Linked DNA regions of Rattus norvegicus. The protein of the gene in region 2 interacts with the protein of the main gene of each other region in a pairwise test. Links are inferred from orthologs where the notes say so. Each region holds a gene or a part of one and is shown on either strand. Other genes may lie near its edges.

Evidence for each region.
Region 1: the proteins of Trim27 (region 2) and Gnpda2 interact in binary tests that used the Homo sapiens proteins (3 or more experiments, as listed by UniProt). The link is inferred for Rattus norvegicus from reciprocal best matches to the Homo sapiens genes TRIM27 and GNPDA2.
Region 3: the proteins of Trim27 (region 2) and Ppp1r18 interact in binary tests that used the Homo sapiens proteins (3 or more experiments, as listed by UniProt). The two-hybrid records come from large-scale screens. The link is inferred for Rattus norvegicus from reciprocal best matches to the Homo sapiens genes TRIM27 and PPP1R18.

What each region holds. Positions count from the first base shown.
Region 1 is NC_086032.1:38,884,577-38,888,223, forward strand, and holds part of Gnpda2 (glucosamine-6-phosphate isomerase 2), read left to right. Parts: intron 1-6; exon of another isoform or gene 7-70; intron 71-221; exon of another isoform or gene 222-2,661; coding exon 2,662-2,846; exon of another isoform or gene 2,847-3,311; intron 3,312-3,647. UniProt on the Homo sapiens protein: Catalyzes the reversible conversion of alpha-D-glucosamine 6-phosphate (GlcN-6P) into beta-D-fructose 6-phosphate (Fru-6P) and ammonium ion, a regulatory reaction step in de novo uridine diphosphate-N-acetyl-alpha-D-glucosamine (UDP-GlcNAc) biosynthesis via hexosamine pathway.
Region 2 is NC_086035.1:48,243,868-48,247,614, reverse strand, and holds the start of Trim27 (zinc finger protein RFP), read left to right. Parts: upstream 1-1,557; coding exon 1,558-1,977; intron 1,978-2,509; exon of another isoform or gene 2,510-2,648; intron 2,649-2,714; exon of another isoform or gene 2,715-2,852; intron 2,853-3,060; coding exon 3,061-3,156; intron 3,157-3,747. Other genes in the region: uncharacterized protein LOC134482717, read right to left, coding at 590-626, 1,231-1,559. UniProt on the Homo sapiens protein: E3 ubiquitin-protein ligase that mediates ubiquitination of various substrates and thereby plays a role in diffent processes including proliferation, innate immunity, apoptosis, immune response or autophagy.
Region 3 is NC_086038.1:2,889,950-2,893,696, reverse strand, and holds the start of Ppp1r18 (phostensin), read left to right. Parts: upstream 1-1,367; 5' UTR 1,368-1,412; intron 1,413-2,411; 5' UTR 2,412-2,416; coding exon 2,417-3,747.

The DNA.
Region 1 (3,647 bases), on a different chromosome or scaffold from region 2:
TTCCAGGGTTTGGTTAATAAAAACACTAAGAACTGTGCCAAATGGGATCAAAATATCAGCTTTATTAAAGGTAAAGTTGGAATAGAGACTGTAGGCTGGGCTTGAAGCAGTATTGGTTCTCCCCTGCACTGTGAATTGGCCTAGGACTAGAAGAGTCTAAGAATATAAATTTGCCACTGTCCACCCAGGGAATTAGAATGTGAGTTCCTTTCTCTTGGTAGGAAAGAGAAAAGAGGAAACGAATCCTCTGAGAGCTTTCATTCTTTCTCTGATGATGACAGAAAGGTAAGGTGTATCCTAAGTGTCTAAGGAGGACCCAGCAGTAAGGTAGAGATAAAGAAACTTAAGTGTAATATCTTAAACTTTGATATTTTATTTATATAAAATTTAAAGAAGACTGGGAAAAACTTTCATATTTTAATTGGTGAAGCTTTTGTTGGCAATAACACTATAACTTGTAGAGGGGGTCTAGTAGTGTGTTCACTGAAATGATTCTGGTATAGTTCACAAAACCTAGAGAGGGGATCAAGCACTGAGTGTTTGGAAAGAACCAAAAAACCTTAGCTCACAGAAGCAATGGCACGTTAAGCAGCAGCTGTCATTAGTCGTGTGTTTGTGTTTGCTTTGTTTCTGTTCGTCAGATAAGGATCAGTTCTAGTGAGGACTCCATTGCTTCAGCTTGCAGTGCTTTGCTCTTGCCACTCTCACTCAGAACGATAGGGACATAAGGAATTGCCTTTGAGATCCTCACCCCCTGACCCCTGCAGCCTGTAGTGAGGAGTGGAGCAGAAGAGGTATAGCAGGAAGAAACTGCTGAGCTGACCAAAGAGAAGTAACGTGCATTAATTCATTCAGCTCTTCATTCATTGAATGTCTCTTGTGTGTCATGTTAACTTCTGAGTAGTAGAGACACACAAAAGCCTTACTCAAAGGAAGTTTACAAACTACCCACAAGACCACAAGAACTATAGGACCAAAAGTCATTCATATATATATATATATAATTTCACCAGTGAGCTCTTGAGAGGATGCTGAGACCCTAATGTAGATGTACGGGCCACAGAGTTAGTGGAGCATAAAGCATTATCCGGAATCAATCAGTCTCTATGCCATTTGTGGCAGAAAGCATATGTAGTGGTGCTCCTCTAACAGGACACTTGACCAAGCTCAGGTCAGCCATGTGCTTTCTGTGGCCCATGTCACCAATGAAAACATTAATAAGACTTACAGGATCTCTGATTTGTTTTCTGAAGGTTTTATGTTTCGAGCTCTAACCTTTCTTTTGTGTGCATCTAAAGACAATTACATGGTGCATTTGTATATCCAAGAGTAAAATGATACATTTGAAAACACATTTAAGTATAATTAAAACGTGCTAGATACCGGTCTGTACTCAGGAATGGAAACAATCCTTGAAAATTAAACATATGTAAGTCCTTATTAAAAGTGTACACCCCACAGTAATCACTGCTAGACTGTTGTGCTTTAGAACATTTGATTCATACTATATTTTTCTTAATTCTTCAAAACTAGATTATAGCTTGCTTATTTTACTATGGCCTAAGAAGCTTAATGATATAGCATGTATCAGTGAAATATACCTGTCGTCTCCTTAAAGTAAACAGGTGGAGTATAGATGTAAAAGATATTTTTATTGCTTAGAGAATTGGGTTTTTGGTTGTTTTTTTTTTTTTTTTTTTGAGAATGCTGACAACTATGATACAGGTGTGTAAACTTTTATTTTTAAAGGTTCTTGATTTTTTTAAGGAAATTACCATTGTCTTCAAATAAGGAATATCATGTTCTTTTCTATATTTTAAAAGCCATCATAAAATATAGCAGGTGTGTATAGGTCACTGTGGTTGATACCTGTATGTCATGAAATCATTGCAACCAGTAACATCCACCATTCTCTTCTTGTACCACTAAGGAAATGAAGTGTAACAGAAAAGACCTTGCATAGATCCCTGTAAAGCCAAGTGTAATTTTATGCATTTTATTTGATTTTATTTTAGATGAGAGAGAGAGAGAGAGAGAGAGAGAGAGAGAGAGTATGTGTGTGTGTGTGTGTGTGTATTACAGTGAAAAATCAGAAAGCTTGTAATATAAAACTGGTATCTTAGGTATTTCTAATGCAATTCTATATTATTTTATGAGGAAATAAAACTAAAAGGGAACCATAGTTAATTGCCTCACCTAAACTGGACTGAAGCAAAGCACGGCGAGGATATCAAACCCTGGAGTCAGTAGTCAGGAGCCTATGATTCGAGTGCATCTCAGTGTTTACTAAACTGTGGTCTTTCACATCAGTTTCTTTTTGTGTTCCTGAAGAGGTGGCCATGAGGGAAGTAGCCACAGAGTTACCAAATACTGTCTGTTGTGAAAATGCCCTCGAAGCCTGTAGTGCTGTGTAAATGTGGTGCTCCCCGCTCTTGGTACATACATGTCATTCCATGCTGTGTACTCAGCAGATATGGGATACTGAATGAAATATACAAATATCTTAATATTATGAATTGAGTTCTAAAATAAGGTAAGTGTGTTTATGGTGATTTCTTTACCTTTATAACTATGTTGAAATTTGAGAAAATATGATATACTATATGTTTGAAACCTTGTTTATATCATGTATATATGAGTGTGCATATCTGTTTTTGAAAGGAATAGGTCCAGATGGTCATATCGCTTTCAATGAGCCAGGATCCAGTTTAGTATCAAGAACAAGATTAAAGACTCTAGCAATGGACACCATTTTAGCAAATGCAAAATATTTTGATGGAGATTTATCAAAAGTACCAACCATGGCTCTAACTGTTGGTGTGGGGACAGTGATGGATGCCAGGGAGGTAAGTAATGTTGTTTTGAATATTTTTCTTTGATGTTGAGTAATTATGGTGCTTAATATTTTAGATTCATCTAGTTTTCAATAAAAATGCTTAAAGGACAACATTTAATTAGAGCTGCCTCACTGGTTCTGAGGTTCAGTCCATTATCATCACAGCCGGAAGCATGGCAACATCCAGGCAGGCATGGGACTGTATGAACTGACAGCTCTACTTCTTGTTCAGAGGCAAACTGGAGCAGAATGGCTCTCACGTGGCTAGGAGGAGGGTCTCCAAGCCCACCACCACAGTGACACACCTCCTCCAACAAGGCCACACTTCCTGATAGTGCCACTCCCTGAGCCAAGCATATACAAACCACAACAGTAACTGTGGTTGTGTTGGCATTTGCGAAAGGGGTATAGAGAGAATGTCCTACATAGTTTTGGAGCCCATGGGATTGATTAATAAAAAGTGCTTTTGACTACACTTAGGAGGATTGGCTATATTGGTTTCCCATAGTTCAGTCCCCAAGGCGCACACGCTGGAAGGAGGGAGCCGATGGCTATAGACACACACAAATAAGTAAAAGTCCATTTAACATTCTTTAAAAGAAGCAGTAGTTTCAGTTGCCCTCTGAGGACTTCCTGTGAGATTTTGGCTAATGACCTAAGGGACTTTCATTCCTGCACCAAAGCTCCAAACATAATGAATCATTAGAGAAGCCCTGAATCGGCCTATAATGTGACTGCGTGCATGTGGTACACACCCACACATCTCATTTTGGTTGCTTCTGTAACAAATATTTCATTATTAGGACAGCAC
Region 2 (3,747 bases):
TGCTCTGGATACAGAAATTCCCTGTCCAGACACTGAGTCAATCCCAAAGGAGAGTAGGAAAGGCCACGGCAGAAGTGACAGGGCACAGAACTGCAAATCTATTCTGTGATAAGAAGCTAGCCTACAAGACCTCCTCGGGTCGTCGCAGAATTCTCAATTGGGCAGAAACAAGCAAGTTTTAGGTTCTACTCAATGCCGTTCAATGCACTGGACACTTCATTTAAACTAATGGATAAAAATCTTTATGGCTCAAGCTGTGTTTTAAAAAGTTTAACTCACGGATGGGGAAAATTCCTGAAAGCAACAGTGTATGGGGGCTCAAGGAAGACACTGAAACAGACTGCTGGGAGTAAGAACTTTATTAGCGCCATAGGCAGATAGGCGGTGGACAATCAGAATTTCTGGCCGCGCCACAGGCGCCAGGGGGAGGTGGGGGCTGGGGAGTGTTCGAGAATGAAGCCCACGTGGCAGAATCAGGGTCGTTTCTTCTAGGGTCTCATAGGAACCCGCGGCCAGGCTCCTTCCTCAGCAGGTGGTAGGGAAGAAGTGTGTCATCAAGTAGCTCTTTGATATGTCTGGTCTGGCTACTTCACTTGAGGAAGTGAGAAACTGGGCACCAGAGGAGCCTGTTAAGAAGTTAGGGACTCACAAGCGGGCTCTCGGTGAGGCAGCTCCCTAGTAGCCGGAAGGCTAGAGAGAAGGGGAAGGACTTCAGTAGGTATCAGGGTCTGGTGAGCACTCTGGTCTGGATTCTATCAATCCCCCATTTCACGCGAGAAGAAAATGAGGCTCGGAACGATAAACAAACTTACTTTAGGGTGGAAGTAGAAGTGGGCTTCTCCATTTCTGCCACTGAGAAAAGTTGCTGATAATAAAACCTTTTTCTGGCGATTATTATCGCCTGGAGTTGGGTGTGTTTCAGAGTGCTTCACACACTGGGAGGGGCTTAGCTGGTCTCTCAGCCCAGTTTTCCGGCACTTATGCAAAGCCACCTTGCATTTAAAGGAGCCAAGGCCTAGGCACTAAGAAGACACCCGGCAAAGGACTACGGATCCACCAAAGCTTAGAGTATCCCGACCCCACTGCCAGGGACACCCTGCTCCCACTGCAAAGGGCAACCACCACCGACTCCCGGGCTGGGTACCGGGGCTCCAGGACTGCGCCGAGGAAACCCGCCTTCCCGCCCCGGAGGAGAGCGGCGCGGGAAGCCAGGCCCCGCCCCCGGCCCACCTCTTCCGCTCGGCCCTTAGGAGTCTGCGCGGCCCTGGGATCCCTTCCGACGCGGCCACGTTGCCCGGTGAGCCATCCTGCAGCGCCGGGTTCCCGACACCCCTCTGCTCGGCTCTCAGCCGGGCCCTGGGGCCCAGGCCTTCCCGCGCTGTCCGTGAGGTGCAGCTGTGCGGGGACGGGTCTGGCCGCCCCAGAGCTCCGCACGCGTCTAGGATCCCCGCGCCGGAGGCCCCACCCCGCTCCGGATCTGAGAAGCCGAGAGAGAGCGCCGGGCTCTGCCAGAGCTCGGCTCCGGGCTCATGCCCTGCGGCCCAGCCGGCTCGCGCCATGGCCTCAGGGAGCGTGGCCGAGTCCCTGCAGCAGGAGACCACCTGCCCCGTGTGTCTTCAATACTTTGTGGAACCCATGATGCTCGACTGCGGCCACAACATCTGTTGCGCGTGCCTGGCCCGCTGCTGGGGTGCCGCGGAGACTAACGTGTCGTGCCCGCAGTGCCGGGAGACCTTCCCGCAGCGCCACATGCGGCCCAACCGGCACCTGGCCAACGTGACCCAGCTGGTGAAGCAACTGCGCACCGAGCGGCCGTCGGGGCCGGACGGCGAGATGGGCGTGTGCGAGAAGCACCGCGAGCCTCTGAAGCTGTACTGCGAGCAGGACCAGATGCCCATCTGCGTGGTGTGCGACCGCTCGCGCGAGCACCGTGGCCACAGCGTGCTGCCGCTGGAGGAGGCTGTGGAAGGCTTCAAGGTAGGGCCGGGCCGGCGGACAAAGAGGAGAGCCGGGGGCTTCCTGGTTTGCCGCCGAGAAAATGGCGAGCCGGACGTGGGGCCCACCGCCGTCATTTCCTCCCTGTCGGCTGCGGAGCCTCCGCGCTCAGACTCGGAAGGAGAACCTGTAGCTGGCGAGGCCAGAGGCGTCCCCACCCCCACCCCTTCTCCGAGCGCCCCCTGTTAACTGCCTCAACGCGTGCCGCGGCTGGGACGGCGCGAGGAGACCCTCCCTTGACAAAGGAGATGCACATGGAGCCATGTCCACTTCCATAGGCCTTGAACACCTCGAACTTGCTCTGGCCCAGGATATCAAACCAGACAGCCCCTGTTGGCTGGCCGAATTCACATCGACCGATGCCTATCACTTAATCTAAGCCCCCAGCGCTTCCCTGTAACCTGTTTTAGAACCTAATGGAAATGAACAGAGCTCTTTACTGCTTGAGTAAATCATTTAGCCACTCTCAGACTCGGGAGATAACTTAATGAAGAGGAAGTGAACTCACAGGACCTGAAGAGGCCTTTGTTGAATAAACACTGGCACAGCTACACAGTAATTCGAAAATGTTACATATAAAGTAACTCTCAAGTGATAATGAGTCTGTTTTGAGGACTGCAGGGATATGTACCAACAGTTAGATTTGTTTAAATGTGAGTTCATCCAAATGTCAGTCACGTTTACAAAGCTGTATCATTTCACTCACTGGAAATAAAGTTGTAATTTAGTAATGCTTACCAGTTCTGTGCATGAGGAAAATAAATCATTTTTTTCTGTATTCGTCTGAGGAATAGCTTACCTTTTGAGCCTCTTTACCCAGATGTCTCATAACCTGTGCAGAATGCTTCTAGGAACTGGTAGGTGGCTTGAGTTTAACAAATTTCTAAAACAGCTGTGCTGGACCCTGTGCTTTAGGCTCTTCCCAGGAATGGCACTGTGGTCTGAGGACAGAGTCCAGCCCGGCCTTGGCATCTGTAGTTTGGGTTCCTGTGTCATAAGCAGAGTAGCTATTTTGATGCTGAGATCTGCAAAATTCTGAATTGGCTGACTGTTTACTTTCTTCAGGAGCAAATCCAGAATCGGCTGGACCACCTAAGAAGAGTGAAAGACTTGAAGAAGAGACGGAGGGCACAGGGGGAGCAGGCACGAGCTGAGCTCCTGGTAAGGGTCCAGGTCTCCAGCCTGCAGAGAGGCATTGCATCAGGATAGCCTTGGCAAGGGTGTAATGAAAACTTCTAAGCAGAGCATTTCCCCTTGGTGTCTGTCATTCCTATCATTTAGCTCCATCCTGTCTCTGAGTGAGTGCGATCTTGACACCTCTTGCTTGAAAACAGGATGAAGAAACTTCTCAGTGATCTTGTGTAGACTAAACTTAAACATACAATGTATCATATCAGCTTTGGGAGGATTTTCCAGAGAGAAATACTTGTGCCAGTGTGTCAGTCACACTGCTTTGGATATACTCAGTAAATTGATCTTTAGCCTTAATTTTGTCTAAGGTTATATTGTATACTTTATACCTTTGAAAGACTTATCCAGGTTAAAAGAGGTATAAGGGGCCCTTGGAACAGTTGAATTCAAGTCAGATTTTAGCAAACTTTCTGAAAGGGGCCAGTAATAAGTATTTTTAGCTTTGTTAATTTACACAAGCTAAATCACAACACCTCAGTCATTGCATCTCAAAAACAGCCATGTCTAATACATAAATGAGTGGGTTTGGCTGGATTCAAGTAAAATCTTTCTTGACTGCTC
Region 3 (3,747 bases), on a different chromosome or scaffold from region 2:
CTTCCTCTCCACCTCAAAAATCAAATCCCTTAGCATCCAGGCTGCATCTGCTTCAGACCAGAGGTTGGAAGTCATGCTTTGAAGGGGCTGTCCCTTCTCTTGCTTGAGAACTCAGTTCTAGGGTCCTGATCCTGGACTCTAAATTCAGTTTCCACCACTGGCCTTCAGAGTCTGCTTCTCACCAACCAACCAAGAAATAAACTCAAGAGCCTCCTTTTCTCTTCAGAGCATGACCTCCACACACACACAGGGTCAGCCTTAGCACTCCATCCCCTTGTTATTGGCTCTGCACCTCAGGGATTCCCTTCCGTGTTTCCACCTCGAGGAGCTATGTCAGGGCCTATCTGAAAGTTTGTAGGTAATGGCTCTTTTGTACTGCGGCTGTGGTTCCTCCCCACCACTGCCTTAGTTTTTCCACCTCATCAGCTCTGCGGTGCTGTCTTCTACAGCGATATCTCCCGTTTTTTTGTTTTGTTTTGTTTTGTTTTTTTTTTTAACTCGGGTTGACTCGGGGCTCCCTCCTCTCCCAAAGGACATGCGCTGCAGAAAAATTAAAATTTTATACATATGACACCCAGTTGTCTGTCCATGACTCTCAAGCCGCAGGACCAATTGGGGGGAGGGGGGGAGGAAGATTAGGCCAAGTTTTTGTGGCGATAGCCAAAGCACTCTAGGACGGATCCCTGGGCTGGGGCCACACCCCATGGACCCGCCCCATCTCTCAGTCCTCCAGTCCTGTTCCCTCCAAATATGAAAGTCTCTCCGCGTATAGATCAGGGAACCCGTGGGAGACAGAATAACTCTCTGGGAGGGGAGCGAACTCCCAAAGCTATTCGCCTCAGACCCCAGGGCCTGGCAGCCGCCTTCTCTGCCACGGTAACAAAGACTAGCCAGGGAAAGAAAAGGCGTGGGGAGGAGCAGCTAGAGATGGGAAGGGCGGGTCCGACTCCAAGCAGCTGCCGCTTCCTCTCCATGTCCCTTAGGGGGCCTGAGTCACGGGCCGCCGCCCCGGGTCGGCCTATTGGAGCACTGGGGTCTGGACACCCCGCTTCTCTAGGGCTGCAAGGAAGGAAGCGGGTGAAGGTCTCAGGAGACAGACAACCGAGAAAAAGGGGATTGCTACGGCGGGAGAGAAGTCCCACCAGAGTCCCACGCGGGAAGGAGGGCAGCGAAGCCCCGCCCTTCGCCGGGCTCCTCCCTGCGCCCCCTTCCTTCGCCCCATTGTCCGTAGACAAAGCGGTCGCCGCCCCCGGCTGGCCCCCTGTCTGCGTCTCCGTCCCTCCTCCTGGGTTCCCCCTTCCCTCCTCCTCTGTTTCCCTCCCTCCCTCCGGATCTCCCTTCGCCTCTCTCCTCCTCTTCCTCTCTCCCGACGCCCGACTCCACTGCACCTCCTCCTAGGGACCCCAAGGCGTGTAAGTTGACTGTAGGGCTCCCACTTTAAGGGAAGTGCCTCGTGGCTCTAAATCTCCCTTGGAGTGCCTCCCCTTTGTGCACAGATTGTCCGTTCAGTCCTCTCGGGTGCACGTCCCACTGGGTCAAGGTCCCCTGAGAGCCGGGTCCCTGGTTGGGGGACATCAGAGGCGCGATGCGGGTCCTCGTCGCGCCCGTGTTCTGGGGGCGCATCTGGTGGAGAGGCCGGCGAGATTGTAGGGACTGGACGCGGGTGGACGCCAGGGTTCTGGGAATGCATAGGCTGCCACACTTGCTCGGGTACCAAAAGTCCCCGAGGAGGGTATTTCCCCTGACCCGCCTCGGGGGCGGGATAGGCAAGTGGGGTAGGGGCCGGGCTGAGGGGCGGGGCCGAGCGCCGCTGGGAAGGCAGCCGGGACCTGCCGAGGCCCCGCGCGCAGAGGCGCCGGCGCCCTTGCCCGTTTCCCCGTCTCCCCTTCTCCCCTGGACCTCTGTCCTCCTCATCTAGCCTCACCTCCTCACATCTCGTCCGACCTCTTCGCCCCTCGCCTGCTGCTTCTCTCTTCCCATTTATCTCCCCTGGGTACCGGGGAAGCAGTCTCGACTGAACCCTCTCACTTCTCGGCCCCGGCTCCTCCGGCTCCTCGCTCTCCTGCTTTTCCTTACCTCCCCTTTTCATATCTCAGGGACCGTCTGGTGCCCACAAACCCCAATCTGGCTCTGCCTCTGCCCGGAATCTCGACTCTTCCTCTCCCATTATCCCCACCCCCAACTTGGCACCCGGCTTTTCTCCTCACTTTTTCAGTTCCTGACTCTTTTGCCCTCCTTCCTCTCACGGCCTTCCTCTATTTTCATTCTTAACTCTACAGTCCCTCTCTGCCCTTCTTAGTTCCTTCCCTCATCACTTCCTCCCTCCCCCCACCCCCATTCTCAGTCTCTGGGCTTCTCTGAAGCTCACCCTTCCTGTTCCCGTCCCCCAATACTCTCTCCTTCACTTCCAGCGACCATGACCGCTATCCCAGATTGGAAGCTACAGTTGCTAGCCCGGCGGAGGCAGGAGGAGGCAGCGGTTCGTGGCCGTGAGAAAGCAGAACGGGATCGCTTATCCCAGATGCCAGCCTGGAAGCGGGGAATTCTGGAACGACGCAGAGCCAAGTTGGGCCTACCTCCTGGAGAGGGGAGCCCTGTGCCTGGGAATGCAGAGGCTGGACCTCCAGACCCGGATGAATCTTCTGTCCTTTTGGAGGCTATTGGGCCAGTACATCAGAACCGATTCATCCAACAGGAGCGACAGCGGCAGCAGCAGCAGCAGCAGCAGCGAAACGAGGTGCTTGGTGATAGGAAGGCTGGGCCTCTGGAGGCTCTAGAACGGAGATCAAGTCCTGGTAATTTAAGAGATCAGAGCCCTAAGGGAAGAGAGTCAAGAGAAGAGAGGCTAAGTCCCAGGGAGGCCAGAGATAGGAAGCTGGTGATAGGAGGAACCCAAGAGTCAAGTTCGAGGTCTTTGGAGACTGGAGACTGGAGGCAGAGCCCAGCAGAGGCCAGAGACCTGGATTCCAGACCAGCTGAGGCTCAGAAATGGAGGCTGAGCCCTGGAGAAACTCCAGAGGAGAATCTGAGATTAGCAGGTTCTGGAGATCACAGTCCCAAGAGAAAAGAGGTATTGGAAAGCAGACTGAGCCCTGGGGAGTCTGGCGACCAGAAGACCAGTCTGACAGAGGCCCATAAATGGAATCTTGACTCAAGAGAAGCCCAGAAACAGAGCTTGGTACAGCTGGAGGCCACGGAGTGGAGGCTGAAGTCAAGTGAAGAGAGAAAAGACTACTTGGAGGAGTGTGGGAGTGAGGAAGAGAAATTGGGTTCAGGGATTGCCCCAGACCAGCCTTCAGTGACAAAGGAGGTTCAAGACACCACCTCTAGAGAAGTGGAGACTGCCGAGCAGAGGCCCACTGAAGGCTGGAAATGGACCCTAAACTCTGGGAAAGCTCGAGAACGGACACCTTGGGACATAGAGACGCAAATTCATAAGGCAGATCCTCCAGCATCTTCAGAGAAGCACCCGGGACCTTCTGCTGTGGAGGCTGGAGGGGAGGCTGAGAAGGAGGAGGCGGGGGCTCAGAGCAGGCCTCTGAGAGCCCAGCAGAACCGCTGCTCTGGGCCCTCCCCCCTCCCACCAGAGCACTCTGGGACGGAAGGCTCCAGACAGCAGGAAGAGGAAGCGGCAGAACCCCGGCCCCCAGCACCAGCCCCTCTGTCTCCCCCACCCTCGGCCCCAACTGCCCCCCAACCCTCTGGGGATCCCCTCATGAGCCGTCTGTTCTATGGGGTGAAACCAGG